Linked DNA regions of Mus musculus: regions 1, 2, 4, 5 and 6 are each reported to be linked to region 3. Evidence: microRNA targets listed by miRTarBase, many of them from high-throughput screens and not tested one by one. Region 3 holds a microRNA gene; each other region holds the end of a gene's coding sequence.

What was found. Region 3 holds the annotated microRNA mmu-miR-344d-3p (GAUAUAACCACUGCCAGACUGA, at 1,846-1,867, opposite strand). A microRNA usually pairs through its seed, bases 2 to 8, with sites in the 3' UTR of a target mRNA and lowers its output. Matches are read on the target gene's strand: a 7mer-m8 pairs with bases 2 to 8, a 7mer-A1 pairs with bases 2 to 7 and ends in A, and an 8mer does both.
Region 1: the mRNA of Nln is a reported target of mmu-miR-344d-3p. Seed matches in the 3' UTR shown: 7mer-A1 at 3,273-3,279.
Region 2: miRTarBase lists Gpalpp1 as a target of mmu-miR-344d-3p. Seed matches in the 3' UTR shown: 7mer-A1 at 3,813-3,819 and 7mer-A1 at 437-443.
Region 4: miRTarBase lists Gpc6 as a target of mmu-miR-344d-3p. Seed matches in the 3' UTR shown: 7mer-A1 at 3,198-3,204, 7mer-A1 at 3,124-3,130 and 7mer-A1 at 531-537.
Region 5: the mRNA of Senp3 is a reported target of mmu-miR-344d-3p. Seed matches in the 3' UTR shown: 7mer-A1 at 639-645.
Region 6: the mRNA of Eif2s1 is a reported target of mmu-miR-344d-3p. Seed matches in the 3' UTR shown: 7mer-A1 at 3,627-3,633.

What each region holds. Positions count from the first base shown.
Region 1 is chr13:104,020,838-104,025,912 of GRCm38, forward strand. It overlaps Nln (neurolysin (metallopeptidase M3 family)), which reads right to left. Exons shown (of 13, transcript NM_029447.2): 13 at 2,602-4,243. The coding sequence ends at 4,109. Among named protein-coding and RNA genes, the nearest start is that of Gm30967, 15 kb to the right of the region's middle.
Region 2 is chr14:76,085,832-76,090,906 of GRCm38, forward strand. It overlaps Gpalpp1 (GPALPP motifs containing 1), which reads right to left. Exons shown (of 8, transcript NM_026177.3): 8 at 401-4,915. The coding sequence ends at 4,697. Among named protein-coding and RNA genes, the nearest start is that of Gpalpp1, 22 kb to the right of the region's middle.
Region 3 is chr7:61,681,282-61,686,356 of GRCm38, forward strand. Mir344d-1 (microRNA 344d-1) reads right to left here and starts at 1,911; the gene lies at 1,843-1,911. Mir344d-2 (microRNA 344d-2) reads right to left here and starts at 4,070; the gene lies at 3,991-4,070.
Region 4 is chr14:117,974,284-117,979,358 of GRCm38, reverse strand. It overlaps Gpc6 (glypican 6), which reads right to left. Exons shown (of 9, transcript NM_011821.3): 9 at 1-4,475. The coding sequence ends at 4,273. Among named protein-coding and RNA genes, the nearest start is that of Mir6239, 23 kb to the right of the region's middle.
Region 5 is chr11:69,668,747-69,673,820 of GRCm38, reverse strand. It overlaps Senp3 (SUMO/sentrin specific peptidase 3), which reads left to right. Exons shown (of 11, transcript NM_030702.4): 11 at 185-711. The coding sequence ends at 295. Eif4a1 (eukaryotic translation initiation factor 4A1) reads left to right here and starts at 1,398. Exons shown (of 11, transcript NM_144958.4): 1 at 1,398-1,542; 2 at 2,845-2,893; 3 at 3,074-3,206; 4 at 3,549-3,688; 5 at 4,575-4,743; 6 at 5,068-5,074. The coding sequence starts at 1,520. Gm25835 (a small nucleolar RNA gene) reads left to right here and starts at 4,826; the gene lies at 4,826-4,969. It overlaps LOC115487892 (a small nucleolar RNA gene), which reads left to right and starts at 4,043; the gene lies at 4,043-4,186.
Region 6 is chr12:78,884,330-78,889,404 of GRCm38, reverse strand. It overlaps Eif2s1 (eukaryotic translation initiation factor 2, subunit 1 alpha), which reads right to left. Exons shown (of 8, transcript NM_026114.3): 8 at 2,395-4,614. The coding sequence ends at 4,489. Plek2 (pleckstrin 2) reads left to right here. Exons shown (of 9, transcript NM_013738.3): 9 at 98-708. The coding sequence ends at 225. Among named protein-coding and RNA genes, the nearest start is that of Plek2, 20 kb to the left of the region's middle.

The sequences.
Region 1 (5,075 bases), not on the chromosome of region 3:
TGCTAGCTCTTCACTGATAGCTGAAGACTGGAGGGCCGTGAGCAGGAGCAGCCAGGATCCCAGTGTAGAGGAGGGCTAGACCAATGGGTGCAATGTGCCATGAGACAGCTGCGTGTGGAGTCAGTATGGGGCGAGTAGAAACACACTAAGGGAAGAAAAGTTAACTTTTATTTGTGTTGAAGAGCTTTCGCCTCTATTTTGGCCACAGTCAACTGTTAAGTCTTCCATCCTTCATTCCAAACAACAGACTTTCTCACTGCTGTGAGCAAATGCAGGAAAGTTCAAAGAAGGGATTAGGAGTTGGGGGGAGGGGCAATGATTTCAGAAGACCTAATCTAATGAGAAAGGGAGGGTGTGATGAGACAGAGCGACTCACACTGTGGACATCAGGGCGCAGAGGCCTGCTCTTCAGGTTTCCCTCTTCCATTTTATTACACGTGGACTCCAAGGCTGCTGAACATAGGTCTTTCCTCTCTTAATCCATCCTGGAAATTTTTTTTGTAGACACAACTAGAGGTTAATCTACTAGGGGTTCTTGAATCAACTTGACTATCGATGTCAACTATGACATCAGATTCCAGGGAAGCCTGAGAAGCTCCAATTGAAGTTATGCAGGCTAACTACAGATAACTATGACACGAACTATAACCGGTCTGGTTGTAGCATAAGGGAAGCTACACTATGTCAACGCCTTTTCTATTTGTGTGTGCACATTCATGTGCATTTGTGTGTGCCAAAGTACATGTTAGAGGCCAGAGACTGATACTGGTTATCTTCCTCTTATGTTTTGAGACTGGTCCTCTACACTGGGACTCGCGGATTTGTCTAGGCTGGCCATGGAGCTGGCTTGTTTGCTATCCCCCTAGCACTGGGATTGGCACAGTAGTAGCATCTCTTGCCATACCTGGCTTTTCTGTAGATGAAGGGGTTCACGTTTGCCCAGCAGGTATTTTATCCAGTAACCCATATCCCCGGTTCTCAGTGCCCTAAGATGCAGAACACGAACCTGTCACCCAAGTTATGTCTCCCTGACCACTACAGAAAGAAACCTCAAAGCTTACCTGTGGAGGAAATGTCTGTAACACCCATGGAGGACACAGGTTCTTTATGAACCCTCACAAACAGCAGCAGAAAGCGTCTCAGTCAACAGTTAGGAGCTGTTCCTCATACTGAAGTCTTCTATTTTCTAATTGTACCTTTAAGCTCCAACACCGTTAGCCATGACATCAGCTCTCCCATAGTGTGTAAGTATTTGAAACAGTGAGAATTCACTTGAGAATTCACTCTCCAGACGAACTTTCCTCTTGAGGGCTATTTCCAAAGTCATCACCATATTGTTGGTTTCTCAAACACTTGTGATGCTAATTAATACAAGCCTGCTGAAAATGTAGTTCTTAGGATGGGTCATAGTAGCCCATTCCTTATGGGAGCTAACCATATTGGGATCCAGAGGGACTTTCGATCTGGATACAAACATCTTCCAGTTCCCTCTTCAAAGGCTTTGTGCTTCCCACAGGCCCCTCCCTATATGTGCTAAACAGTGAACTGCTACTGATATTTGGCTAGAAGGTCACCAAGACTTTTGGTTGCCAAGTCACATCATCACAGTGAGGTTTTGCCTCTACCTGACAATGGGACTTGATTAATTTTGTTTTATGTTTGTCTTAGTAGAGGAATCTTTCAATTTTAATAACATGTTCATATATAACTATTCCAGCTGTTATTTATATGTTAGTATTTTTTAGTGGATTTTCTTGCTTTTAGCCAAAGGACTTGCTATTCCCCCTCTTTATTCAATAGCTAGGAATCCACTTAGCCAAAGTTATCCAGTCCTATCTCTCAAGCACAAAGGTATGTCAACAGAGACACCAAGTACCTTGATGGGCACAGTGAGCACTTTCTATAAAACTTTCTTAGGTATCCAGCTTCTCTGATGACAAACGCTGCAGACATTGTACCTTGGGAAGAACACTTTAGAGCTGCCTCTGGGTATCTGAAAATCGCCGGTGGAAAGCTTGAGAACAGAGGACGAGCACAGCGGAACAGGGGTACCAAACCTGTTCCTTATGAGGAAATGGAACATGCAGGAATATCCAACCAAATAGAAGCCCAAGCAGAGGGTGGTGGCATCCACCTATAAACACAACACGAGGGGTGGTTGCGCGGCTGATTCGCTGTGCCTTTAACATTAAAAGACAAAAGTACTGTGAGCTCATTCTCACGGACAATGATGTCACTTTATTGTGTGCAGTCAGTCTTTTACACACTGGCTATTAGCTTTTCCAAGTAAAGTAAGATTTATGATGAAGTTATTTTTGAAGGAGACAAACCGGGCAATAATAGAAAAAGCTGAAGAGAGTTTTTTTTTTTCTTTCTTTTTCTCCTTTTTTTTGTCTGAAAGTAGGAAACAAAAATGGGGGTGGGGACAGATGTGAGACGCTTCCAGAGGTTTCTACCACCACCATAAAAGCAGCTGGGAGAGCATAGCACTTGCTAGCATGGGTGAAGAAGCCGGAGGTTTGATGCCCAGCCTTGTAAAAATCAAATCAAACTACATAAACAAAGGGCTTCCCTGCTGTGTACCAGCTCTTGGTACTCTGTATAACTTTATTACACGACATAATATTTTATTGAACACAAAGTCCACCGGGTCTAAAGAACAGACAGGCTCTAATTTCGTTTCCTGCCAGGAAAGTCATTCCTCAGGTATGTGTGGAGAAACAACTCAAAGCCCTGTGGAAAGTCCGATCACAGCTCATTTACATTTTCTCCTCTCTATCCTACTTGGCTTCCGTTTGGAGTAGACTCCCAAGGCTAAAATAATGCTGTGAGCTCACTACTCTGAGCTGGAAACTTAGGTCCCAATAAAAGGAGTTGGAGATCTGGAGGTTCACTTAACAGTCGCCATATGAAACAGCCTGCTGGACAGCCTTTTCCCACAGCTCGGTTGCCCACGGAACACTTGGGAGCAGCTGTTCGCAAACGCTCTGCTCCAACGCACTCTTTTCTGGAGTTTTCAAAGCTAAGTTCCAGTGGATGTCATCTCTCCCCCTGGCACTTCAACACACTGTGACTACAGGGCCGACCTACCACTTTCAGGGAGGCAAGGTCAGAGTCTTATTAGAAACGTGAGAACTGAGCTGAGTGAGGCAGCTCACACCTGCGCCCCTAAGGCTTGGGAGGCCGAAGCAGGGGAATTACCATGAGTTCCAGGCGAATCTGGCTCCATGGTGAGATGGTGCCTCAAGCAAACAAAATAAAAAAAATATATATATATAAGCAAAACAAGCAGAAACAAATACATAGCAAATACTAAAAGTCGAGAACCCAAAAGATGCCTAAGTTCTCTGCTTCTCTCACTGTGACTGCAACCGAAGACTTGACATTTGAGCTTCTAGTGCAAGACACAAAACTTATATACTAGGCCAGTTGAAACAAAATTTAAAAATATTATCTAAATAATAATATTAACTTTAGAAATTAAATTTTAGAAGGGAAAGAACCCCAAATCTAAGTGGAGCTATGTAAGTAAGTGTGACAGAAGCCGAGAATCACAAAGCTCACTACAAAAGACAAACAGCATTGAAGTGTATCCTGCGGGCCTTGACACACACAGGCAAACTGTCACTTAGTTGTGAGGCAGAGGGTCAAGGTTGACACAGGGCTCTGAGAAAATATTTACCAGAGAGAACATGCTGATTCACTTATCAGTCCAGGAATCTCAAGTATAAAACTTCAAGATATAAGAAAGATCAAATTATATCATGTATGTGATTCAATTTAAAATGTCTTAGCCCTCTTACATTATATTATCTGGATTATAACAGTAAAAAAATCAAATTACAGTCATATGAAACTTTTATCAAAAGAAATCAAATCTGTTTTTATGAAACTTTATAGTACAATTATTTTTAGTGGGTCTTTTCTTAGGTCACAGTATTTATAATTCCATTTACATCTGTATAATTTTTAAAATGAAGAAACAAAAGCAAATGAATAGAAATCTAAGTTTTCCTTTGTAAAACTGCCTTCAGTCTCCAGGCCGGCACCACATGGCGGACGGTGTTGGCTTGTCCTCCAGCCACGGACAGCCCCCAGCGTCCCTGCTTTACGAAGCATTCAGGCCTCGACTCATCAGGAATGCTTTCTGGTTTGGCTCACGTTGCAAGAAATTCTGGAGCATGTCCATGCCGTCCAGGGACCCCCCAGGCTTCAGGATTAGGTTTCTGTATTTCATTCCAACCTAATAAAAGAAAACATCATGCCTAATAACTCACGGGCCCAGCAATCCTCCAGATCCCCAGACACAAGGGAGAGAGAGGTGAGGGCGAGGAAAGGGGCTTCAGCTCTACTCGAGTCTAGACAGTTCTGCTCACGCAGCAGCTCGCTCGCTCCTTCCTTCCTTCCTTCCTTCCTTCCTTCCTTCCTTCCTTCCTTCCTTCCTTCCTTCCTTCCTGTAGTTAAGAGATTTGGAGCTTTAGCCTCAGGCCTGAATTCCCTGTGGAATATTAATTATTGTCTCCTGTCCTTAGATTCTCAGCTGTGAGCTGACAATGAAGGCAGGCAGGGACACCAATCAGCCAAACAGAACACAATTTGCTACTGCCAGTTAGCCCAGTTCCAGTGTGATTCAGAAGGGCTAGCAGAGCAAGTGTTCCCAAGGCTATGGGGCTGCATGTGCTTCGGAGCAGGAACTCGGCTACTGTCAAATGCCTTCAGGTATTTTTATAAGGGGCTCACGAAAAAACAAAACAACCCCCCACAAAGAAACCTAAGCAGCATTCTTGTGGATGGCTAAGTGACAAGTGATTCTGAGGGGTCAGGAGTGGAAGGACAGAAGTTTTGAGAGATGGAAGTCTGGAATTTGAAAACAAACCACAGTTCCTCTGTTTTTATTCACATGAACATCCGAGCAGACATGTTGAAAGAGAACAGCTGCTGCTCAGCGTCACATAAGCACAGCTCAGATCCTTCCACTGCTCTGGTAAGGAGTCCTAATTCTAGATGTGCATATAAAATAAACGGATATTGCTCACGTTTATATTTATTACGTGATCTGACCAATAGGAATGATA
Region 2 (5,075 bases), not on the chromosome of region 3:
ATAAGAAACACTGGAATTTTCATTAGAACCCTGGCGGGAATCAAAGGTAAGATGGACTCCATGGTCCCAGCACAGGCTTTTGACCCTGCAGTCAGTTCCATGATAGTGCTTCTCGCTCATCGCAGCTGAACTGGAAAACATGGTGCAGCCCATGCAGGCCTTTAGCCTGTGATTCTCCTGCCTTAGGCTCAATAGTGGGGTTGCAGGTCTGTGCCACCAGCATCTTCACTCCTCCTCCCCCACCCGAATTCTTTTTCTCCTTCCCATCACCTGCATAATAGTCCACAATGACTGGCTAACCAGAAGAAACCTGTTCAGGATATTCTTGCTGCCAGTACTGCTTGCTTCAGGAAAGCTAAGAATATCAAAACAAAGAAAAACAAAAAAGGAAGATTCCAACTTCTCAGATATAGAGGACATTTTATTCATATATGTATATATAAAACTATACTTCAAAATGATCCTTTTCTAAAAGCAGCCTTTCCTAAATGAAACGGCTACAAGGAGTATACAACCTTTCAACCTTGTACACACCATGGTCACAGTTAAACAATTTCTGGGTGGTGCTGAGAACTGGGGATGGAGCCAGGACTTCACGCTCACCCACATGCCTGGGCCCCGTTAGAGTGGGTTTTTAAAGCTGTAAACAAAACAACAACAACCAAACAAAAAGCTCTTCTACAGCAGCACAAGGCTCTGTATCTGCAGCCCAGACGAAGCCTCAGTATGGCAGCAGAAGTCAGGTAGGTGGTGCTTCGTGGTCTCTCATCTGGAGCCACTTTCCTCGATGTAGACTCCTCCTCTCAGGTATAATGCCCTGGAGAGGCTTTTCTAGAAGCACCAATAACACCATGGAGAAGTGGAAGCGGACGAGGCCTCGAGCTTATGAGCTCTGCACCACTGTCATGTATTTCACAATGGTATCAACATGATTAGTCTGCATAAGAACCATAGTATCATGTAACAGCGAATGATTTATGTGACTCTGAAACATGGAAGGCTCAGATCTATACACATAGCAATCTCACACCTAACAAAGGATAAATGAATAAGTGAATGTGTTCTTAAAGCTAAATAAATGAAAAAACTCATGTAGACTATGTCCCCCACCCCACAAGCAGAGCTCAGTTTTCCCTGTGGAGGCCAATCTGAAAGTCTTATCCTGGGTTGGCCAGGTCCTCTCTTGTTTTAGTCCCTCATCTTCCCCTACTACTAAAACCAACCGTCTGCTCACCAGTGATGTGAATACTGTTTGAGGCTGAGCAGTCGGACCTGGACAAGGCCATCCAGGGAATTGATGGCCAACGTTAGTGGTGAGACACCAGGGTTTGACCTGGTGCTAGTAACTCCTTTCTTCTTCACTCCCTGTAAAACATGGCCAGGGGTTGCAGGGCTGCTTTTATTAGGAAATGCTGACTGTCAGGGCAGTGGACTCCAGCAGGCCTCTGCTCTTTGGAAGATGGGATGATATGAGGAACATCTTTCTGTAATGCACACAGAGCTGCTTCATTTTTTTATGGTCAATATTAATTGAGATTTATGTCTCCATGTGGCCAAACCTCCCTGGAAATGGCATATACTTTACTGCAACTGTCATCTGGGTAACAGAAAATAGCACTGGCTCCAGGGTGCCAGCGAGGTAATCATACATCTGGTGGGCTGTCCTTTATCTGAGGTCACAGGAAATAGTAAGCATAGTACAGATATTCCTAACCCCTTCCACTGAGAAAGCAAGGCCAATGAGTGTCCAGAAGTGGTATTTTTACTTTTAAGATTATTTTTAAAGTTATGAGTCTGAGTGTCATTTTGTACATGGGCACAGATGACCATGGACCCCAAGAGGGGTCAGACCCCGTGCAGCTGGAGTTACAGGGAGTGTGGACACCAGGTGTGGGTGCTGGGAACTGAGTCAGGTGATTTGCAAGAGCTGTACACGCTCTGCCGACAGCTACCTCCTTTAAATTGATTGATTTCTTAGTATTTTAACTTTAAAAAGAGGCTGGAGAAATGGCTCAGCAGTTAAGAACACCGACTGCTCTTCCAAAGGTCCTGAGTTCAAATCCCAGCAACCACATTGTGGCTCACAACCATCCGTAAGGAAATCTGATACCCTCTTCTGGAGTGTCTGAAGACAGCTACAGTGTACTTACACATAATAACTTTTAAAAGTAACAAATTTCACAAAATATGTTAGGTTTTCTAATAGCTAAAAAAACATTTTCCTCTCATGGGGGGGGGGATAATCACAATATGAAAAGGACAGAATAAATACTCCTTTTTCTTGGATTTTTGAGACAGGGTCTCTCTACACAGCACTGGATGTCCTGGAATTCACTCTGTAGAGCAGGCTGGCCTTGAGCTTACATAGATATGCCTGCCTCTGCCTTCCAAGTGCTGGGATTAAAGGCACTCATGACCATGCTAGTCAGAATTAATACTCTTGTATAAAGTTTTATATGCAGAAACCCATTCACTTTAGCCAAAGGGTAGATCTATCTAAATCTATGGGGACAAGAAGTCTGTTTAATTTACTCAAAATAATTCAGGTTTTAAGAAGCAGCAGTCCTTGAATAGGCTGTTTATACCAGTATAAAAATTGTGCCACTATTAAGAAATACTTTATATTGTAATTTGAACAGTTTGCCTAATTTTTATAAAGTTCACATGAATTGGGAATCAAAACATTTTCCCATTACAACTCTATGCTTTGTGAAAACTAGAATACAGAGTCGGCAGAACAAAAAAACCTGCTAGAAATGCCCAGAATTCGCATTTAGCTTTTCTCTCCCTCATTAGGAGTGTCTGTTTAACAGCTCAAGAGGCATTGCTTACAGCACTAAACCATATAATACTCCCACTGGGTGGTTGCGAGTACAGATTCCCCATTTCCAGTGATTATTTGGTTATTTTTAAAAGCCATCCAGAATTAATATTCCAGTAAACCAGATACAAAGTGCTATATACATATATGAATCAGATGATCACATGTGACGTTCCAAGATGCAGGCAGCTTTGGTGAGACCATGAAGACAGCATCCTAGACTTCACATGAATGAGAATAGGTGAGTATAATGTCCTTCAGATTGCCTCCCCTACAAATATTTACTGTTAAAATCACAATATTTCCTTAACCTGAGATAATCCAAACAGCTTCTTTACCTTAAAACCAATAAAAACAATTAACCTGACAGGAACTAAATAAATACAACAGCAGGAAGGACAAACCCCCATGCTCTGTATAGACTAGGTTCAGTTTGGAAGACAAGCTAAGAAATTTAAAATTGATGGATTTGCAAGGGCCTGTGTGATGGTTTGTATGTGCTTGGCCCAGAGAGTGGCACTATTAGAAGGTGTGGCCTGTTGGAGTAGGTGTGTCACTGTGGGTGTGAGTTTTAAGACCCTCATCCTAACAGTATTCTGCTAGCAGCCTTCAGATGAAGATGTTGAACTCTCTGCTCCTCCTGCACCATGCCTGTCTAGATGCTGCCATGCTCCCACCCTGATGCTAATGGACTGAACCTCTGAACCTGTAAGCCAGCCCTAATTAAATGTCCTCACAAGAGTTGCCTCGGTCATGGTATCTGTTCACAGAGGTAAAACCCTAACTAAGACAGCCTGACACAATGATTCTAGGGCAGGTTAAATATATTTGAAGAAAAATGTCCAGACTGTGGTAGAGAGTATACAGTCTCACCCAGAACTAAGGAAACATGTAAGACACCATAAAAAATTAGGGGCTGTAGTATTGTGGGGATGGACTCTTAAAATAATTACATGAAGAAAAGCCAAGAACACCCAAAATCATTCCATTCTATATAAGAACACAGATTGTCTGTCCCCATAGTACTTTAAAGGATACAGACCATGGCAAATTTATATGTTTTTAAAGATCATTCTCTAACAAATTATGGTGGCCAGACAAACATCACACGGGGAAATCTCTCTTATGTAACAATGCAGTAAGCTGAAAAACATTTTAAAGTTCATATTATCCTTTAAAATCACACCTGAATATCGATATCTATTTCATGATACTACAAATCACGAGGAACTTAAGAAGCATCCTCAGCTCTCACACAATTCCTTAACCAACATCCCAGACTCTCATAGATGGACCCATGGGATTATGGATATTTAAGGCGTACCAGCTGACACTCAACTTACAGAGGCCTTCTGGAGCAATGCATGTTTTTCTAACTGTAATGTTGTTCAAAGAACGGTATGGTGGCACTCACCTTTAATCCCAGCACTTGGGGACAGAGGCAGGTGGGTCTCTGGGAGTTTGAGGCCAGCTTGCTAGTAGTATACACAGTGAGTTCTGGGCCAGCCAAGGTTACACAGTGAGACCCCGTCTCAAAAATCAACAAGCAAGTGAACAATTAAACACACACAAATGCCCCTAATGGACCACATGACCCCTCAAGCTGCACACCACACTCTGTGAAGAGCCCTTTCTCTTCATTGAAACCCTTTTCTAGTAGCAATGTTCTGTTGGGCTATTGTGAAGACAAAGCTTTTTTTTCCCACTATCTCCCCTCCCCCAACTTTTCAAAAGTCACAATTTATAAAAATGTAGACCCTGAATCTACTTTATACAAAAGGAGACGTATTTGTGCACATAATTACTATTGACAAAGGTATATTCTGAGGGGTTCAGGCTGATCAGTATAAGTGTACCTCACTGAAGTACACTTACTTATAAAAACATGTTGCCTTTGCCATGTGAAAACCGGGTGTTTAGTTCTCTGGATTTCTTTATTAGGGCTTTTTTCTGAGCCTCATCAAACCGATTAACCTTGAGATCTTTATCACGGTCAAATGGTATTCTCTCCTGGTGCTTGTTTTTATCTTCAGCAGCCTTACTCTTTAACTTCTTATGATGAATGTCCATGAGGGATTCTGATCTTTTTGATTCCTAGGGAAGTAGAACAGAAGTGAACACCTTAGCTCAGGTATGTTACAGACAGTCTACAACCATGAAGCAGACAAGACCAGTGCATGTGAATAAGAGATGTTTGCAAACCCTGATGGGGTCTTCTGGATCCAAGACAGCATGTATGCAGAAAATGTACACC
Region 3 (5,075 bases):
AAGCTGAAGCTTGAATATTGTATCTTCTTTGCAGAAGAAACAAACGTTCATGACTGAGAAAAGTAAGTCACACTTCAAATCAGATACCTGAATTTCCCATAGGTTGACAGCTACTATACGAAACATAGAGCTAAGCAATCAGTGCATGGAAGCTCTGAAATAAACAACCACAGGCTTTGAAGATTTTCACTGGCTCTGTCTGCTGACAGTGACAACACTCTCCCTTCTCTTTAGCACCTTTCAGTCTGGCAGTGGTTATATCCAGGACAAGGTAAGTCCTGGAGTATAGCCAGCAGCCTAACTGATGAAATCTTCCCCTGCAGACAAATTTATTTGTTCTCTTTGCCTCTGATTGATGGAGAATGTGTATTCAAATGGAGAATGAAATCAGATCCAATCAGGAGAGAGATCTCATATGTAGACATGGGCATCCAATCCTGCTGCAACACTGGAGATCTCCATCAGTCCTGCTGATTCATACCTCAACACTTTCACCATGGATTCTCAAAAGGAATTAGAAAAACCGAAAATGGATGGAGAAAAAAGCTGGTTTTACATTCTTCTCTCTACACAACCAACAGAAATACAAGTTAGTGGAATGTTAAGGGTGTTCTGATTTCTGGCTGCTTCTGCTTAGATGTAAGCTCTTTGCCAAGGTTCTTCTGCTTCTTTTAAGGCCTTTCTGACTGCGATTATTATCTTGCAAATTTTGTGTGGCCTGCTAAATATTGATGTGCCTGCATCTCCCTTGGAAATTGCTTCTGTTGTATATTCATGTTTTAGATTTTCCCAGTACAATAATGTTTTATAGGGTATCTTCAAAGAGGTTTTGGAATACAACGTTCAATATTCAGCCCATACCCTGCTCCCCAAGTATTCAGTTTGCAAGAAACACTGGAGTGTTTCAAAAACCTGAAAAATATTAATAGAAATTCAGTGTTGAAAACAAGTTTTAATGCTTTGATTATCCAAAACAAAACATTGTGTGTACAAATATAAATATGTGTTTTGAAAAATACCATGGCATTTTTAATGCATGTACAGATTAATGTGATTTTTTTATTGTCATGAATGTATAAATCAAAATAATAAAGTTTCATGAATATCTACACTATATGACAGAGACCTGACCTCTAAACACAGAATTAAAATAACATGAAAACTTAGGACTCGAGTTATCCACAAGTACAAGATAACAATAAAAATACTGCATCCATTTCTTCCTGTATGTCATGTTTTATCCAGTTGGAGATGATCTGGACATGATCTATTGATTTCTGTAAAGGGCTTATGATTTTATCGAGCTCTGAGGTAGCAAAGAATTGACCTGGAAGAAAAACATCCTAGAGAATCTAGTAAAGGATAAGAATAATAAGAAAACAAACAATAGTTGTCTTGTTGAAGGTCTGTGGCCATTACAGGTAACATGCTACTAGCAGCACAGACCCAATACTGCTTGGATTCGAGGAATGGTAGTATGTTTGCTGGTTAGTTACATCTGAGTTTACTTAGAATCTAAGTTGGCATGTTGAGGACATTTGCTGCCATAGCAGTCTTCACAGTGGCTAATTTAAGAATATAAAAATTTCCAAAAATTCCTAGTCTCTGACACAAGCTGAAGCTTGGATCTTGTATCTTCTTTGCAGAAGACATATCCTAGCACGACTGAGAAAAGTAAGTCAATCTCCAAATCTGAATTTTGCATAGACTGACAGCTACTATACAAAACAAGGACCATAGCAAACAGTGCATGGAGACTCTGAAATAAACAAGCACAGGCTTTGAAGATTTCCACTGGCTCTGTCTGCTGACAGTAACAACACTCTCCCTTCTCTTTAGCACCTTTCAGTCTGGCAGTGGTTATATCCAGGACCAGATAAGTCCTGGTGTATAGCCAGCAGCCTGACTGATGAAATCTTCCCCTGCAGACAAATTTATTTGCTCTCCTTGCTTCTGATTGATGGAGAATGTGTATTCAAATAGAGAATGATATCAGACCCAATCAGGAGAGAGATCTCATTTCTAGGCATGAACATCAAATGCTGCTGTAACCTTGGAGATCTCCATCCATGCTGCTGATTCATAGCTCAAGCACATCACCCTGGTTTCCCCAAAGAAAGCAGAAAAATGGATAGTGGATGGCAGACAAACCTTCTCTCTACACAAACCAACAGAAATACAAGATAGTGGAACGTTAAGTATGTTCTGATTTTTGGATTCATCTGCCTAAATTTAAGCTCTTTGTGGGAGTTCCCCTGCTTTTTTCAAGCCTTTCTGACTGTTTATTATCTTGAAATTTTGCTGCCTGCTGAATAATCGTGATGTGCCTGTATCTTCTTCCCCTATTGCTTCTGTTTTATGTTCTGATTGTAACCTTTCCTAGTACAATAATGTTTAATAGTGTATTCTCAGAGAGGATTTGGAATCCTAACTTCAATATTCTGCCCATACTATGCTTCCTAAATACTCAATTTTCATGAAATGCTCAAGTGTCTCAAAAAATCTGAACAATATTAAATGAAATTCAGTGTTGAAAACAATATTTATATGCTGTGATTATGTAAAACAAAACATTGTGTGTAGGAAAATATAATGTGTAGTTTGAAAGAAGACATGCCATTTTCTGATGCATATAGAGATTAATGTGATTTCTACTGTCAGGAATATATTATTCAAAATAATACTGGTTCATGAATATCCAGAATATATAACAGAGGCCTGCTCTCTAAAATCAGAATGAAAATAATTAGAAATCTTAGGACTCAAGATATCTACGAGTACAAGATCACAATGAAAATTACTGTATCCATTTCTTCCTTTATATTGCGTTTTAACCAGCTGGAGATGATCTGGACATGATCTATTGATTTCTGTAAAGGGTTCCGGATTCTAAAGAGCTGTTATATAGCAAAGAACTGATGTGGAAGAATATCAGCCAAGAAAATCTAGTAAAGGACAAGAGCAATAACAAAATAACAAAATAAACAACTGTCTCTTTTTTCCCCCACCCGGCAACTGTCTCTTATATATATATAGAGAGAGAGTATTAAGTGTAATCTAGAGTTGAAAACATTGTTCATGGACTGTAGATAATCAAAACCATATGTAAAGTGAAGTAAAAATTAAAGTGTGCTCATGAAGAGGACAGAGATTATTTTGATGTACATACAATTGTAATTCGTTTACTACTGTAAAGATTATCTGAAAAAAAAAGTAATACATTTCAGAAATGTCAAGGATATACAACAGTGACCTGGACTCTTAAGACAGATTCGAAATAACAGAAAAAAAATATAGGTCTCAAAGGAGTCACTAGTACAAGTTCCCCATGAAAATTTCTGTGCTCATTTCATTTCTATAGTGTATATAATACCAAGGTGGAGATCTTCAGGAGATGGATGATATATTGATTTCCCTAAAGGACCCATGACTCTCTTGAACATATAGTTAGTAATGAAGTGGCTTGGAAGAACATACATGCTCAAGATTCTAGTATATTAAATATAAAATAACACTATAAACAATGTTTCAATTGTTGAATATTCATACCATAAATAAAAACCTGCTGCCAGAATCACTGCCCTAAGGATGCTTAGTTCCTGAGTAAGGTAGTATCTGTGTCTATTAGTTACATCAAGATTTTTCAGAGACTCCATGGTGGTATGTAGCAGGCATTTGCTTCCACAGCACTTCTCACAGTGTCTAACCTAAGTTTGTGAAAATGTGAAAATTTTTCTTAGTCTCTGTCACAAGCTGAGATTGAATCTTGTATCTTCTTTGCAGAAGACATATTCCAGCATGACTGAGAAAAGTGTGTCATTCTCCAAATCTCCCATAGAGATTCTCCGAATCTCCCATAGAGCGACAGCTACAATACAAAACGACCAAAGCAATCAGTGCATTGAGGCTCTGAAATAAACAAGCACAGGCTTTGATGATTTCACTGGCGCTGTCTGCTGACAGTGACACAAGCACTCTCCCTTCTCTTTAGCACCATTCAGTCTGGCAGTGGTTATATCCAGGACCAGATAAGTCCTGGAATATAGCCAGCAACCAGACTAATGAAATCTTCCCTGGCAGACAAATTTATTTGCTCTCCTTGCTTCTGATTGATTGAGAATGTGTATTCAAATAGAGAATTGAATCAGATCCAATCAGGAGAGAAATCCCATATGTAGACATGGACATCAAGTCCTGCTGAATACTTGGAGCTCTCCGTCAGTGCTGATTCATACCTCACTGGCTCCTCTCTGGCTTCCTGGAAGGAAGCAGGGCTATTAAAAGCAGAGGGTAAAAAATGTTTTAAACATATTCATTCTACACTGACAAACATAAAAAAAAGTCACTGTGACTTTGGAAATCTTCCTATTTCTGGCTCCTTCTTCCTAGCTTTAAGTTATTTGCCAGAGATTCTCAGTTTCCTTTTCACCTGACTGTCTATCTTACAATTTTTTGCTGCCTGCTCACCCATTGTGATGTGCCTTTGTTTCCTTATCCAAATTATCTGTTGTATGCTCAGTGCATGGCTGTTCCTTGATAATTTAATGTTTATATTATATTTTCATGCTTCCACAAAGAGTTATTTTAATACTAAATTTAGTATTCTGCCCATGCCCTACTCCACCTGTACTCAGTTTGTATGAAATGCTGCAGTGTCACATAAATCTGAAAAATATTTCATTCAACTCAATTTTCAAAACTGTGTTAATATGCTGTGGTTATTGACACTCAAATATGGTATATGTGGAACTTTTAATGTGTGGATTTTCTATTCTATTTTTTTTTATTTTCATAGGCTATTTTCTTAACTTATTGGTTATCCTCCATTCCCCTTTTTTCACACAGTAACCCCTTCTCCAATACTCCACCCCTCTGTTTCTATGAGGGTGTTCTCCCACCCACCCATCAAAAATCCACCTCCCTGCATTTACATTCCCATATACTGAGGCATTGAGTCTTTTCAGGGCCAAGGTATTCTTCCCCTATTGATGCCTGACAAGACCATCCTTTGCTACATATGAGCCATGGGTCCCTACATGTATACTCTTTGGTGGGTGGTTTAGTACCTGGGAGCT
Region 4 (5,075 bases), not on the chromosome of region 3:
ACCGCACTGTGGTACCCTCGTTAAGGTGTTGCTCATGAAGTCCCTAATTACAAGGCAATGCCAAAGATTGCAGCAGCCACTCCACTCTCAGTGAAGTCCCAAGCATTCCCATGCTAAGCTGAGTCTGGGCTATAGCAAACTATGACATAGCAAGTCTCCAGAATGCGTACAAATCAATACTCTATTTGTATATGTTGGCCTAAAACTAAGCACTGGCCAATATCACTACCAAGGAGGAACACACTGCAGATTTATAAGTTATGGACTCCTTTGCTCTTCTGGCAGCAAGGCTACATATTCTTTTAATTTAAATATCTGCTAGTGACTATAAGTCAAAGAAAATGAGGTTGAGTATCTGAAAGCTTTTGGAGAAGTCAAAAGCTGCATTTGCCAACATTTGAAACCGAAAGTCAAACCACCTGGTACTCAGCCTTGCAGAGAGGTGAGAAAAGATTTGCAAGCCAGAATCTTGCTAAGTTTTATTCCTCCTTGAAGACTTAAGTTGGTGCTTAGTCTGGAGCCAAAATATGTATATAATGGCAAGAAGAATTAAAGAAGGCTAATGTCTATAGCAGGGAATGTAAATTAAGTTTCATGGTTTTACATCCAATAATATCTTCAATGTGTTTGATTTAAAGAATGCTCCATTTGAAACTACTGTTGTGCCTCAGTGGATAGAGTTTCTCGGTGTAGATAAAGTAGTTTCTCTCCTTTATGTTTGAAGCAGATGAGTCACGTCACCTTCCTCCTTGGGTAAATCCCAGTAAGGAAGTCAGAATTCTAGTGCTATAGTCGGGGATGGCTGTAATCAAAGTGCCAACTTGGCCTTCACTGCAGTGACAGACAGAAAGCTGTCTTGTGGCTGCCAATACAGGACTACAGCGTTCGTGTTCATAAATTTACAGTTCATTCTTCTCTGCTGAAGACATTAGCCTCCGTTTAGCTTTTGTTGTAACATATACAAAGTATAATAAACATCAATTGCAGACGGGTATTTCTGTTAGAAAAATACATATTAAACCTAAGGAACATGTAAATAGAGGCACTTGGATAAGCTAAGTGTTTGTAGTCATGAGCATCACCCACCGGTTTCTAGTGTCCAATTTTGGGGTTCCGTTCCTCTCTACTCGTAACACAAGTCGTGATGTGATTACAGATTTTAGGGGACAACATCGTCACAAATGAGGGTAGGCTGTGGGTGACAAGGGAACATTGAGACATCTCCTATCACTGTGCTGGAATGGGAAACTCAAGCTGGGAGGAGGATCCCAAAGTACCGAAAAGGGGAAACTGAACGAAAAGGCTTAGGGGACAGGAAAAAAAAATTAAACCTTTAACATTAAATCAGTCTACAAAACCATACAACGGGCAGTGACAATGACTAGGAAGGGCACGTTAAAAACATTTTGTCCATGTCTGTGTAAGATGACCAACGATGTGGCTTTGTCAGCTGACCCTCATCTCAGCTCTGCCTGGCTCATGGGCATCACTGTATCTTATCAGTAGTCGTACCCTTGAGAATACAGGTGCTGAGTCAAAGGAAACAGGCATTTCTATATTATTTGTGTGATGAGTGTGCACAGGACATGGGCTCACATTCATTCATGTAATGTGTTGTCATGTAAACCATCTGGGGGCAGAAGCATAGTAAGGAATGTGATATCTTGATTTGTTTTATAGAAGATAATGCAGAAATATTTTAAAAGGAAGTTGGAGCTTAAAGCCGTAAAAATAAGTCCTTATTCTCAAAAATCCTGGAGAATCCACATTGGTTTAATTCCTATTGCACCATGATTATTGGAAAAAAACATACTGATTTCTGAACATACAGTGAGCCACCTAACATAAGTGGCTGGTCCTTCATAGAGAAGTGTTATGTGTAACGGGGGATTAGAAGCCAAAGTGGGGTTCTGAGCTGGGTGGTTTCCCAAAAGGATACCGTTCTGAGTTGGATAAAGTGTTAATGTCACACAAATGTAAATGAAAAAACGCCACAGAGTCTCTCAGAATCCTACATTGCTTATTCTGTTAGGCATAAGGTGGTAACAGATGCTTGTAAATACGTTCTGTCTTTCAAAAGTGCTCAAATATACTTAATATGAGTGCGTGTGTTCTACTTAGACGTGATGACTAAATCGGTAACTAATTTTCATGTTGGTGAGAACAGAGATAGAAAAATATCATTTATGTGTCAATACTGTCGATGAGTCAGCTAAAAATGTGATTGGCATGCTGTGGTATCTTGAGATATTTCTTTTTCCTATCCCAGATGCATCATAAAAGCAGAAGAAGGAGAAGGAGAAGGAGAAGGAGAAGGAGGAGAAAGAAGGAGAAGGAGAAGAAGAAGAAGAAGAAGAAGAAGAAGAAGAAGGAGAAGGAGAAGGAGAAGGAGAAGGAGAAGGAGAAGGAGAAGGAGAAGGAGAAGGAGAAGGAGAAGGAGAAGGAGAAGAAGCAGAAGAAGCAGAAGAAGCAGAAGAAGCAGAAGAAGCAGAAGAAGCAGAAGAAGAAGAAGAAGAAGAAGAAGAAGAAGAAGAAGAAGAAGAAGAAGAAGAAGAAGAAGAAGAAAGAAGAAGGAGGAGGAGGAGGAGAAGGTGGTTAGCCAACTGTCTTCATACAACCCCAGTTTGGTGTATTTCGCTTCTGTCAGAGGAAGCATTGGGCCTGGCTTGGTGGACAGGTTAGGCAGTGGCTCTAAAATGGCCTCTTGAGTCTAGGCCATTCAGTACAGTACCCGGTAGAAGTCCAAGGCCAGAGGTGCTGTACCAGAGAGCAATGTTTTTTTGTTTTTTGTTTTTTTCATGAATAACATTCTTTACACACACACATTCCATCACCAGTCACGTCTTGCACACCAGGCTTGTCCCATGAGCTCAGGACAGTTTGGAGCACCAGGGGAAAAGCAAGTGTGTGTGAGAAGGGTGTGCCCTGGCAAACTTGCCATCAATGGACAGTTAGATACATAAAAAGTTCTCGCTCTTGATTCTTGGTGCTCGAAGATCACTAAGGAGTCTGTTCTCTGAGCAGCACAGAACAAGACGGGGCGGTTGACAAAACAGTTCTGTTACAAAGGAGTGTCAACCCTGAGCTTGGAATTAAGAAGTTAAAATCTGTGATTTATATATATATATAATATAGATATAAAAATAGATGATCATACTAAGACTAAAAAAGTGAAAAGAACCTCCGTGTCAATACTATATATAATGTTTTATCCTCTCTCTCTTTTTGTCTTGACTTGTTTTGTTGTGAGTTGTTATGTTAAGAGAATGCCCTTGTGATGCTGAGACCAATTGACACAAAGAGTCAGTAACAGAACCTCATGTGTGGAGCCAATTGTCATGTCAGTAAGAAAACTCGTATTTGGGGGAGGGTCCGGAACACAGGAGCTGAGACATCTGGTTCATGTCCGTCTGGAGAAAGAAGAGATTGTTACCACTGAAGATGACTTTTGAGTCAAGACCTAGGAGAGAGGAGACTAGATGGGGGCGGGGCATCTATGAAAAACTGAAGACAGTGTCAATTGGATAAAACGGACAGACGTTAGGAGACAGAAAATGCTGCCATCAGTGAGCGGTGGGATCAGGCAGTGGGAAGAGAGACATTGAGTTGTCATAAGATTACCGTTCATATAAAGACAGAGTCCTAAATTTACTATCAGTACCTTCAAATCAGTTTGGTTAGATTCCAAGACAACGGTGTATTTCCACTACATGAAAATGTTACGCTTTCTCCTCATAAGCGCTTTGTAAACCTCGCTTGTCACAGAAAAGCTCACTCCAGGAGTTGGCTGTCAGTGCCAAGCCTGATAGCATGAAAGTTCCTTTATTTTCTCTCCTTTGTTTGTTTCCTTGTTGAGAATGCAGTTGTCTTGGGGTTTGGCCTGATTTGAAACGGAAAATTATTTTTTCCTATTTTAAATGGGTTGTAAAAAAAAACAAAACCAAAACCCCCCTCACAACATGAAATTCTTTTAATTTTGCAGCATAAAAGCAAACGACGGTAAGAAAACAATCTCTTGGTACGAAAGGTTTGAGTAAGAATTCTCTCTGGAATAAACGAGGTCCCCACAGATAGCTGACGGAAAGAGAAGCAAGCCATCTGGCACCCGGTACTCTTTGGGAAAGCAAAAAGGGGAGGCAGACCTCAAGACTGCTCTCTTGTCATAGAAAACGGCTTGTTGTGTGGCATGGTCCATTGTTCAAGAGTGTAAGAAAAGAAGGGTGTTGGCCACAGAAGAGCTAAAACGCAGTTTCGTCTGACCAAAGCCCACGATTATCTGTAGAGTCTCTGCAGGGCCAAGACCATGCAGACCAGAGACCAGGAAATCAAGGAGGAGCTGAACTTCGAGGCCGAAGATTCCTCTTCTCTGCGGTCCGGGTCCACCGCCGGGGCCTCGGTGGTGACAAACTCGAACTCCGTGGGACACACATCATCCATGCAACCACTGCCGCTGCCTGAGCCACTGGATTCATCGCCTGGCGGGAGAAGATTGACAAGGAAAGTTAGAACAGTTAGCTGGGAATAAACGACAAACAGCACAACAGCTCTTGGGATGGTGTGGGAGGAACACTCCATCAAAGCATTGCTGGCCTGTCCCATAGATAGTTTTTTCACGGGCAGGTTGGTGATGGGCCAGAAACAGAACCGAGATACAGAATTCACTGGTATCTGCACAGAGTAAATTTGTAACGGGTGCCCTCTGAACCACATTAATATTAGATGCATCTGCTGTCCAGTATTTAAATGACTAAGAAACTGTGTTCTGGAGCTGGAGACATGGCCATTGCCACAGAACTCAGTTCATTCCCCAGGACCAACATCGGGGCAGTGCACATCTACCTGCAACTCTATTCTTGGAGATCTGGCACTCTCTTCTGGCCACTCCCAGCTCCCCCCCCCAGGTGTCCAGATTCACATACATTTATTCTCTCTCTCTCTCTCTCTCTCTCTCTCTCTCTCTCTCTCTCTCTCTCACACACACACACACACACACACTTTTATATATTTCTATCTTTAAAATGCAATTCTGTTCTTTGCTCCTTTGTACTTCAGTGTTGCTGTTTTAAAATCTCATG
Region 5 (5,074 bases), not on the chromosome of region 3:
TAAACACCAGATATATTATGTAGGCTTGTTGAAGCCCCAGGCTTAGTCTATAATGGCAGTGTGTATGAGAAACAGATATTTTCTGAGAAATTAAGATGTATTTTGTGTGAAATGTGTAGCACAGGTCCTGACTTGGGAGGGTGCTCAGTAAACTGTTCTCATGGTCTACTTTGTTAACACCCAGTACTGCAAGCACCTGGCCCTGTCTCAGCCATTCAGCTTCACCCAGCAGGACATGCCCAAACTCCGTCGTCAGATCTACAAGGAACTGTGTCACTGCAAACTCACTGTGTGAGCCTCATACCCCAGACCCTTAGCCCATCAGTGGGCAGGGGAAAGGGAGACCCTTCCCAAGAAACTCTAGTTCCTTTTTGTTTCTCTACCCAATTCCCTTTGGATTTTCATATTTAAATGTTTGGTTTCTGTATTTTGTTTTTTTTTGCTGCGAGTATATTGATTTCTGATGGGAAGGGAATGGCCACATAAAAGCAAGCCTCTTTCTCCCTCTATAGGAGAATGTTGCCTTGTGGCCTAGGTGGAGCAGCCATTCCTCCTTCCATGTTCAGAGGGCAGGAAAACAGTGTGGGGGTGGTGGACGCGCAAAGGGATTACTGCCTGCCCGATCTTCAAACTTTTTTTTATATATATAAATATATATAAAAATGCCACGGTCCTGCTCTGGTCAATAAAGGATCCTTTGAAGATATGCAAGTGGTGGTCTTCCTTAAGGGGCCTCAAAATAGTGGCTGTGCTTTATCTCAGGTCTTCTTCCAGCTAACACTGTTAGCGATCCCCATTTCAGGGCTTGAGAGTCCAGCTTTCGATAGATGCCATCCCCGGGGAGCAGATGGCAGTAAATATGAATTAAGACTCGCTTATTCATGTAAGGAAGCCCAGGAGAAACTGGAAACATACTAAATGAACCAGTGATTGAGTGGGACAATCCTTGACAGCTTATCCCCCTATGCCCTTTAACCCAAAAGTGGGTTCCATCCTTTTTGTCTCCAGTCGGGGAAACTTACTATCCAATGAGATATCGCTACAATATTTTCCTGAACGGAAGAATAAATAAAACTTGTCCTGTAAAGAAAACCCAGGTAAAGGAAAGTGGCAGTCCAGACTGCCCGGAAGTTCCTGGAGGCTAAGGCCTCACCCCCGTCGCTTGATAGGACCTGCTGAGCCACATGACTAAGGCACGATCGCCTCCGCACGTGTAAAGGTGCTGGGTTCCAAGATGGCTGCCCCGCCGCGAGGCCCGACTTAAGTATGTCACTTCCGCACCAGCGAGAAAGGCGGACCCTTCAGCCAATGAGGCCATAGGGCGGGGCTAGGCCATGATGGGCTTTCAAACTACCCAATAGGGCGTCCGAACTAAAGCGCCTACAAAGTAACGTCACGTCGAGTTGCAGAGCGCCGGCAGGCGGGGCAGAGGTGGCCAAGCCAATGCGATGGCTGGGGCGGGGTCGGACGCTCTATAAGTTGTCGATAGGCGGGCACTCCGCCCTAGATTCTAAGGATCATGTCTGCGAGTCAGGATTCTCGGTAAGAAAGGCTTTTGCAAAAGGTTATGGCTACTTACCCCGTAGTTCCCTCCAAAGGGCCCGCCGTGGGGAAGTTGAGAGGCCCATCGCACCGAACCTACCAGGTTGCGGGAGAACCGAGCCGGGAGGAACCGTCCGGGGTTGGGGGGGTGGGGGAGATTCCCATGGCCGCCGCTGACCCCAGTGTGGTTACGGGGAAGGACGACCTGGCTAGGGCGGAGGGCGCGAGCTTCGTCACGAGGCCTCGGCCTGTGGGAACGCCGTACGCGAAGCTCGGATACTGAAAGGCAAGATGAGGTCGCGACATAACGTGGGAAAGAGGCGGCTGCGCGGCCCGGAGCCGGCTGGTCTGGCTGCCTCCCTGTGTCGGGCAGGGCGTGCGAGCGAGGGTTCCGGAGAGTTCTGGCGGTACCACTCGCGACAAGCAGGGGTGCCCCGGTCTTCAGCGAGTCCCTCCGTCGCGCTTGGAATGTGGGTCGGGGAAGAAGAAACCGGCCGATCAGGGCGCTGGCCTTCTTGACGGCCAGGAAAGAGCCTAACCCGGAGGAGCGGCCGCGTGAGGCACGGGGAACCCACCCGGCGCCTGGCGGGCGGGTCCATTTTGCCGCACAAGCCGGGCAATTGGCAAACTGCGGATGGGCAGGTCCACTTTCCTTCGGGGGTGAGCGGCCTGAGGTATGGGAGGGCGACGCCATTTCTCGACGGGGGCGGGCGGGTTGCGGATTGTTCCATGGCGGGGGAGACGCCGCCGAGTGGCGGAGCGAATGAGCACATGGCCGCTTGAGAGATTCCCCTCCCCCAGCCTGTTTCGCTTGTCTGTTGTGCAATCTCCCCCTTTGCGAGCGCGGCTGGGGCTCATTGTGCGCGAGGCCGCCACCGCCCGCGGCCTCCCACATCCGGGTACTGTGGAGGGGGGCCGGCCAGAGGGAGTGGGGGAGGGCGCGGGCGGCATGACGTGGGGGGAAGGGGATGGCCCACCCACGGAACTCGGAGGTGGAAGGCGGGACTTCCGGTGGCCTTGGTGTTCATCCAGGAGGTGCACGCGCTTTGATCCACCAGACCTAGAACATGTGGGCCTGGCTGCAAAGACCGCATCTCGGCGTTTTGTGTATGAGAGAGAGAGAGAGAGTGTGAATGTGTGTGTGAATGAAGTCCTTTACAGCCGCTTGATCTTAAAGGAGCGTCACTCTATGAAGTGCCTCTTGATGGTTCTTTGGGAGTACATGGGAGTTGGATCGGGAATGGGCTGGTTGCTTCCACTCTGGTCAAGGCATGAAGCAAAACTAGTGCTTTGAATCAACAGATCCAGAGACAATGGCCCCGACGGGATGGAGCCGGAAGGCGTCATCGAGGTAAGACCAGAACCTGCGGTTCCCACTTTATTTTGTCAGAACAGGCACTTCCTTAGCGTGACAGTGACCTTAGACATTTGGAGTGGTAGAACAGAGCAACCTGTAGGATGAGGTGACTCCAGCTTTAGTGTAAACACGTTACTCGAAGTGCCTAAGTTTTTTTTTTTCCTAATCCTGCAGAGTAACTGGAACGAGATTGTGGATAGCTTTGATGACATGAATCTCTCAGAGTCCCTCCTCCGTGGTATTTATGCCTATGGTTTTGAGAAGCCCTCTGCCATCCAGCAGCGAGCTATTCTTCCTTGTATCAAGGGTAAGACTTGTACTGGACTAGATTGGACTGGACAGAGTGGTAGGGAGTTGGTGGGCATAGCAACCGGGAGGAAACATCCTTCTTGGATCTTGGATTTTTAGTTTTGTTAGTACATAGGTCATGCCTTGGATGCATGGGTTTGTTTCCAATTAGAGGCTTTGTTTTTATTGCTCTACATCTAGTCTAACAAGCTGTTGTGAGTTCATAATATTTTGGCAAAAGTTTGTTTGCAAACCTCTACCATTTCATTTACAACCTTTTTTCTGTTACTGATGTCATGAAGTAAAGTTTCAAATATCCTCTGATCCCAAGGTGCACATCTAATTCTTGATCTGGTTGTAGGTTATGATGTGATTGCTCAAGCCCAGTCTGGGACTGGGAAAACAGCTACATTTGCCATATCAATTCTGCAGCAGATTGAATTAGATCTAAAGGCCACTCAGGCTTTGGTTCTGGCACCCACACGTGAATTGGCTCAGCAGGTGAGATTGGTGTGTTTCCTATATGACTGGTTTAAGAGAGAAGAGTACTAGTGGTGAGTGATACAGGTAGATTGAGCACTGCAAGTTCAAGGCCACCCTGGTCCATAGAGCTAGTTCCAGGACAGCCAGTACTATGACGTTTACCTTAAAAATAAGACAATTAGAAGAAGGTTGAGGACATTGTCTTAATGCCACTGGGTCTTGTTGACAGCTTTTAGTTCTATTGAGATTTGCTGACCTAATTACCACCAACTTTACCAGCAAAAAGAAAAAAGAAAATGCATCTTTTGAGGAAGGGGAAGAGGATTGGTAGAATCTATCTAGCTGGCTGGGCAGGTTTAGCTGTTTATGACACACCCCTGGCAATGGGCAAAGAGGCACCTTGTTTGTGGTGTTGTTCTTATATCAGTCAGGGGCAGAGCAAATGGCAGTCCTTTGTTCATCCTAGCTTGATGCCTGGCTTGGTGGCCAAAGCTGTTTCATGCCTAGGGCACATAAAATCCTGAAGCTAATTAAGAGGATTGACGTCTTAGAGCCCTGTAGATTTTGGGTTTTGTTTGCACATCAGCTGGGGATGTTGGCTCTAGTGGAACACTAAGTCTTGGTTCTGTGGCAGGGATGAAATAATCACACACATTGTTGGTATAAGGCTATGTTCATAATCCCAGCCTTTGGATTTGGAATGTGGTAGTAGGGTGGAGAGTGATTTCTAAGCCTTTGTAGAGCTGGCCTGGTGTTTTTTTACAAGGCTGCATGTAGGGGTGGGGAAATTACTGTGAACCTGTGTGGTGGGATTCAGCACTGCCATTTGTGGTTGTAGTGCTGGGATTGAGAGAGAATTACGTGGGTACCGCCCGAGTTAATGTAGATGTTCTTCTGCATTCAGATACAAAAGGTGGTTATGGCATTAGGAGACTACATGGGTGCCTCTTGTCATGCCTGCATTGGGGGCACCAATGTGCGTGCTGAGGTGCAGAAGCTGCAGATGGAAGCTCCCCATATCATCGTGGGTACCCCTGGCCGGGTGTTTGACATGCTTAACCGGAGATACCTGTGTGAGTACCATGTAACAGTTGGTGGGCATTCCCACATGTCATTTTCTTGGATGCAAGTTTTCCTTTAGTTTAGAACTGAGTTGCTCTGTGATGAACCCCATGCGTGTCATCTGAGCCTGGCTTCCCTGTTGTTACCTTAGCCCAGGTAGTGTTCTACTTACCAGGGCTTTTGCCTGGCTTATCAGGGAAGCTTTGGGCAAAGGATCAGTCCTTGTATTCTGAGAGCAGACATCTGCCCTTTGACTGCCCTCTTACCAAGAGATTTCCATGTATTTCACATTTGTCTGATCACTATGTGTTGGTGTTTTTTCTTCTGCCTTCTAGCCCCCAA
Region 6 (5,075 bases), not on the chromosome of region 3:
TTAGAATAACCACTGGCAGACCTTATGGCTATAGGGAGTGGAAATACAAGCTGGAAGTTGACATGGATATTCAATACTTTTCCTCTCCCCTGTGTAGGAGTTAAAGGGAATGTCCAAGGAAATCTCTTCAAAGTGATTACGAAGGATGACACACACTATTATATCCAGGCCAGCAGCAAGGCTGAGCGAGCAGAATGGATTGAAGCTATCAAGAAGCTAACATGATCTAAAGGAGCGGGACCAGGGTTCTCATCATTGGATACAGATAAGACTTCCTGGAGAACTGGAGTACAAGATACTGGGCTGGGGATGTGGCTCAGTGGTGGAGGACTTGCCTGGCCATCCTGAGTTCAATTCTTGGTACTGTTAAAAAAACAAAACAACAACAAAAAAACCTTATCATTATAAATGTTGCATGGCTTTGGAGTAAGACTGCCCAAAGTGGCTCCTCAGATGACAGCGGGGATGCGATGATTTCCTTCTGCCTTCCTATGACCAACTTTAAAAGATGGACCAGCTGTTAGGTGGGCAGCATCTTGACTTTGCTCTTCAGGACAGAAATCTGTCTTTGGGGACAATAGTAGTACCTCTTTCTCTGTTGGAACACTAACTCCGGTTTTCTGTATTAAATACTCTAGTCTCAAGACTCTCTCTCAACTGATTTCAACAACTCAGTATCTCTGGGATTAATAAAGAATGACATCTGTCCCTGACTGTTATGGTTCTTGTAGTTAGTTCTCTGGTTCCCACAGGTTTCTAACCTGTGAGGCCCTATGTATTACGGAAGCTGGTTGTGGAGGAATCTCTGGTGATCTGTCACCAGGATGATGTTTCTCACTTTAAAGTGGGGATGCTGACAAACAGATGTCTGTTCAGAGGATACTGTTTGTCTTGTACTGTAAGACAGTAGGTATCACAAGTTGCAGATGTCATACTCTTGAAATCTGTCGCAGATATTTTTTAAAAGGCAGAAATACAGCTTTTTTTTTTTTTTTTATATAAAATGGACATTTAGAAAGATGTGGAGCCTCAGCTCTCCAAACGACAAGGATACAAATGACAAAAGTTAACTCAAGGTATAAAACTTTGGTCTAAAAATGAACATTAGCTCATCCCCAGTTGGGGGTTAAAGTGACAAGTCTGTATCATACAGTGTTTTTATAAATATTTTTTATTAAATGTATACAGTGATCTGGCAGTGATGGCCAGGATTCTTGCCAAGGACAATGGCTTGGACTTTAATAGATAAAATACATGACTTACATTTAAGGGGAGTGGATATTTCTAAAGTGTCTAAGTAAAAACTTCTCTTAAAATAGATTTCCTCTTAACGTCTGGAATATCTGACCCCGTGTTTGGAATCCCAAGAACTTGTCTGTTTCTCCCTTTACTCCTTACTTTGTAAGAGACTGCCTTTTCAAGCACCGTTTTTTTCATTTGGCATCTTTCCAGGTTTAATGTACCTAGAGTTACTTTTAGAATGTTGACAGGTGCTTATCGGAATTAAACTACATTTGGCTTGATAGCTTCCTGCTTCCCATAGCTATGGGTGAGAGGATTCTCAAGGGTTCTAAAACAGATGAGCACTGGCTTGAGACAAAGCAGTGGAGCTGGCAAGGTCTAGCTAGACCCAGCTTTTTTTCATGCCTACTCATTTTAATTGTTCTCGTTGTAAAAAAAAAAAAAAAAAAATGCCCAGGACACAAATGGGCTGGTGTACAATAGCTAAGTAGTGGCCCAAAGATCAGCACATCTCTAGAGCTCCAGTTAAGAACCTGAACATCTTGAAATACCCCCCCCCACACACAACCCCAATCAACCAAACAAAATAAACCCCCCAAAACTTGGAACATATTCATGAAAATTGGCTATGTTTGGTTATAAAACTAATTAAAAAAAGCAGTTTCAATGTTTCGTTTTAGTTAGTTTCAAATCATTGTTAGGAGTCATGAAGTCTATTTATTTTGTTGTATAAATTAAGGACCATATGACTGTAATCGATGGCAGAAGGAAAACAGAACTATTAGCATTTTTAATGAGAAGGCTTTGGTGGGAGAACCAAGATATGTAAGTTCTGTGTGTTGTTTACACTGTTCAGTCTCACAGCTGGGTGAGTCTGCCTGGCCTAATGTGTCTTAGTTTGTTCTTTTCATCACAGGATCACTGCAGTATTGATCTCCCAGGCTAGTCAGCATTTTACACAACTGTAGAACCTAGCAACAAAGCTCAGATAGATTAAAATCTATCACGGAGCCATAAGCTATTTCTAATTCTTTGAGACAGTGTTTCTCTGTGTAGCCTGGCTGATTTGGAACTTGCTTTGTAGACCCAGTCTTGAGACTGCTCTGATTTAAGGTGTGCACTACCATGGCTGGCTGGCTTAAATTTTTTTTTGGAGACAGGGTTTCTCTGTGTAACAGCGCTGGAACTTGCTTTGAAAACTAGGCTAGCCTCCCAAGTACTGGAATTAAAGATATATGCCACCAACCTGACTAAATTGTTCTCTTAAATATAAAACTTTTCAGTAAACAATCCCTAGGAAAAGGGCGCTTGCTATACTTGATAATACATTTTTTCTTCTGTGGTAATGGGGATTGATCCCAGGGCCTTGACTTGCTAGCTATGCACCAGGCCAACTTAGCTATATTTCTAAATCCTTAAAATATGTGTATTCTGTCTCTGAATTATCTGAGATTACAGTTACTATTGCAGCTTTGGTAACACCTTCATGTTCTTTTATAAACTTGAAAAAAAAATTGAGACAGTCTCACTATGCAGTCTTAGGTGACCTGTAACTTGGTATATATAGACCAGCTATGCCTTGAACTCAGAGATCCAACTGCCACTGTCTATGATGGGACTAAAGGCATGCACTACCATACCTGGCCCTAAACTTGCTTCTTGATGCATGACCAGTGGTTGTTCTAGACCATCAAAAACCAGATATTTATATTATGATTCATAATAGTAGCAAAATTAAAGTTATGAAGTGGTAACAAAAATAACTTTATGGTTGGGGGGTCACCTCAATGTGAAGACCTGTATCGACAGGTCCCAGCATTAGGAAGGTTGAGAACCACTGCTGTAGTCAGCCAATCTGGAGTACATTCAGAGTCCCTAAATACTAGCAACATGGTATGCAGACTAGCAAGCATGGCTCCTCGGAAATGGGTCACACAAGGTTAGACCAGTAGATTAAACAAAAGAACTTTCATAAATGGCATAAAACATCTCTCAACATTCTAATTTCCAATCCTTTTGATACAGAGTCTTGCAGTGGTTGTCCAGGCTGATCAGCAACTCTTGGCTCAAGGAATTTTCCCTCCTCAACTTTCCAAGTACTGGAGCCATCAGCATGTGCTTCTGTACCCAACTCTAGAACTCTTCCCATGATGTCTAGTCCTGGACTGACTTAGTTTCAAGTTTGCTTACAGATAATAAATAGTATACATATCCTAAGATAAGCATGCCAAACTAAATGAAGACTTTCTACATGTGATATTGTAGCTGTAACTTTGTGTTATTTGAAAAAATTATTTTGCACATTAACCTTTAAAGTAGCTAGTTTGAGAAGGTAAAAATGGGATTAAAAATTTTGTTAAATCACATCATGTGTGGTTTATATATATATAAAACCATGTATGTATATATACACACACACACACACATACACACAACTCAAGAATTAGGTAGCACCTACCAGATAGAGGAAACTGTCCCCTTCAGATGGGTGATGCTGCTCAAAATAACTCCATCAAAGCAGCAGCACATTAAAATACCCCTTGAATTATGAATTCAAGGTAAGTAGCTTAGAATAAACCAAAGGGACTGAGTGTGATGACTTCTCACACAAGTTATCACTGCTTTCAAGTAAGTTAACAGGCACATAAATCTTTAATTGATTTCAAGGTTTTTCTCTACCAGGGGTCAAATTCCTAATTTCTTCTCTAACATTCCTTTGGAGAGTCTGTTCCTGCATAAGTCATTTAGTTACTTGCCCATTGAGTTCTACCATATGAAGATAATTAGGATCTGAGCATTCAGATTGGCTTTAACTTGTGACAAGAAGGAAGAAGCCTACAATTAAATATCCCAGAAATTTATTTGATGTTTGCTTGAATACATTTTATATAGAAAGATTGGGATTGTTTGTGTTTGGAGTCCCTGGTAAATCTCTGAACCATAAGGGTGCCATTCCAGAGACATGAGAAATGGAAACTGTAGGCCCAATATTAGGACTGCTGTTTAAGATTTGTCTCTGGTCAAATCAAGCCACTCCCTTGAAAAATGCTTGAGGTGTTAGAGCCACTATGTGGAAACAGCTGACATGAAGGAGGGCATTTAGATTCTGGCTTGTTGAATACTTAAATACTTGGAAATAAAAATATTCAGCTTTGAAGTTTTCAATACTGGAAAACTCTCAAGTCTAGGGTTGACAGCCAGGAAGGGCTGCTTCGTACTCCTTAAATTGGACTGTTTGCCAAAACGTTAATCTTCAGCTTTGGCTTCCATTTCTTCTGCATCATCATCTCCATCCACTTCTGCATTTTCTCTCTCCAGCCGTTCCAGCTGCCTTGCAAGTTCAGTCTCATCTGTATCTGTGACCACTTTGGGCTGTGGAAGAGGCACAATTTCAAAATAAAGTAAACAGCAGAGTAGATTTGACTTCAATAGTATTACTGACCAATGTTTAAAATTTAACAACAAAAAATTCATTTCTAACAAAATTCAGTCATACCTGTGCTGACTCACCACTGAATAAGTTCTATCAGCTGAAAGTTAAGAAAATTCAAGACCATCCAAGGAAGCAGTATACACTACAGTGGAATAATACTTCCTGCCATTTTAATAAGCTCAACTGAAAACGAGTTCACTGATCACAGCAGAAGACCACCAAATGGCCTGTTGTTTTTTTGTTTTTTTTTAAAATGAATATTTTGGGCTCCAGATAAATTATTATCCTTCCTCAGAGATCGAAACATCTATACACACAGATATACAGCATATGGAAATTAGGTCTTGTTCATATTGAGAGAAAGACAGATTATTTTATGTTTGAAACAGGATTCCCTATG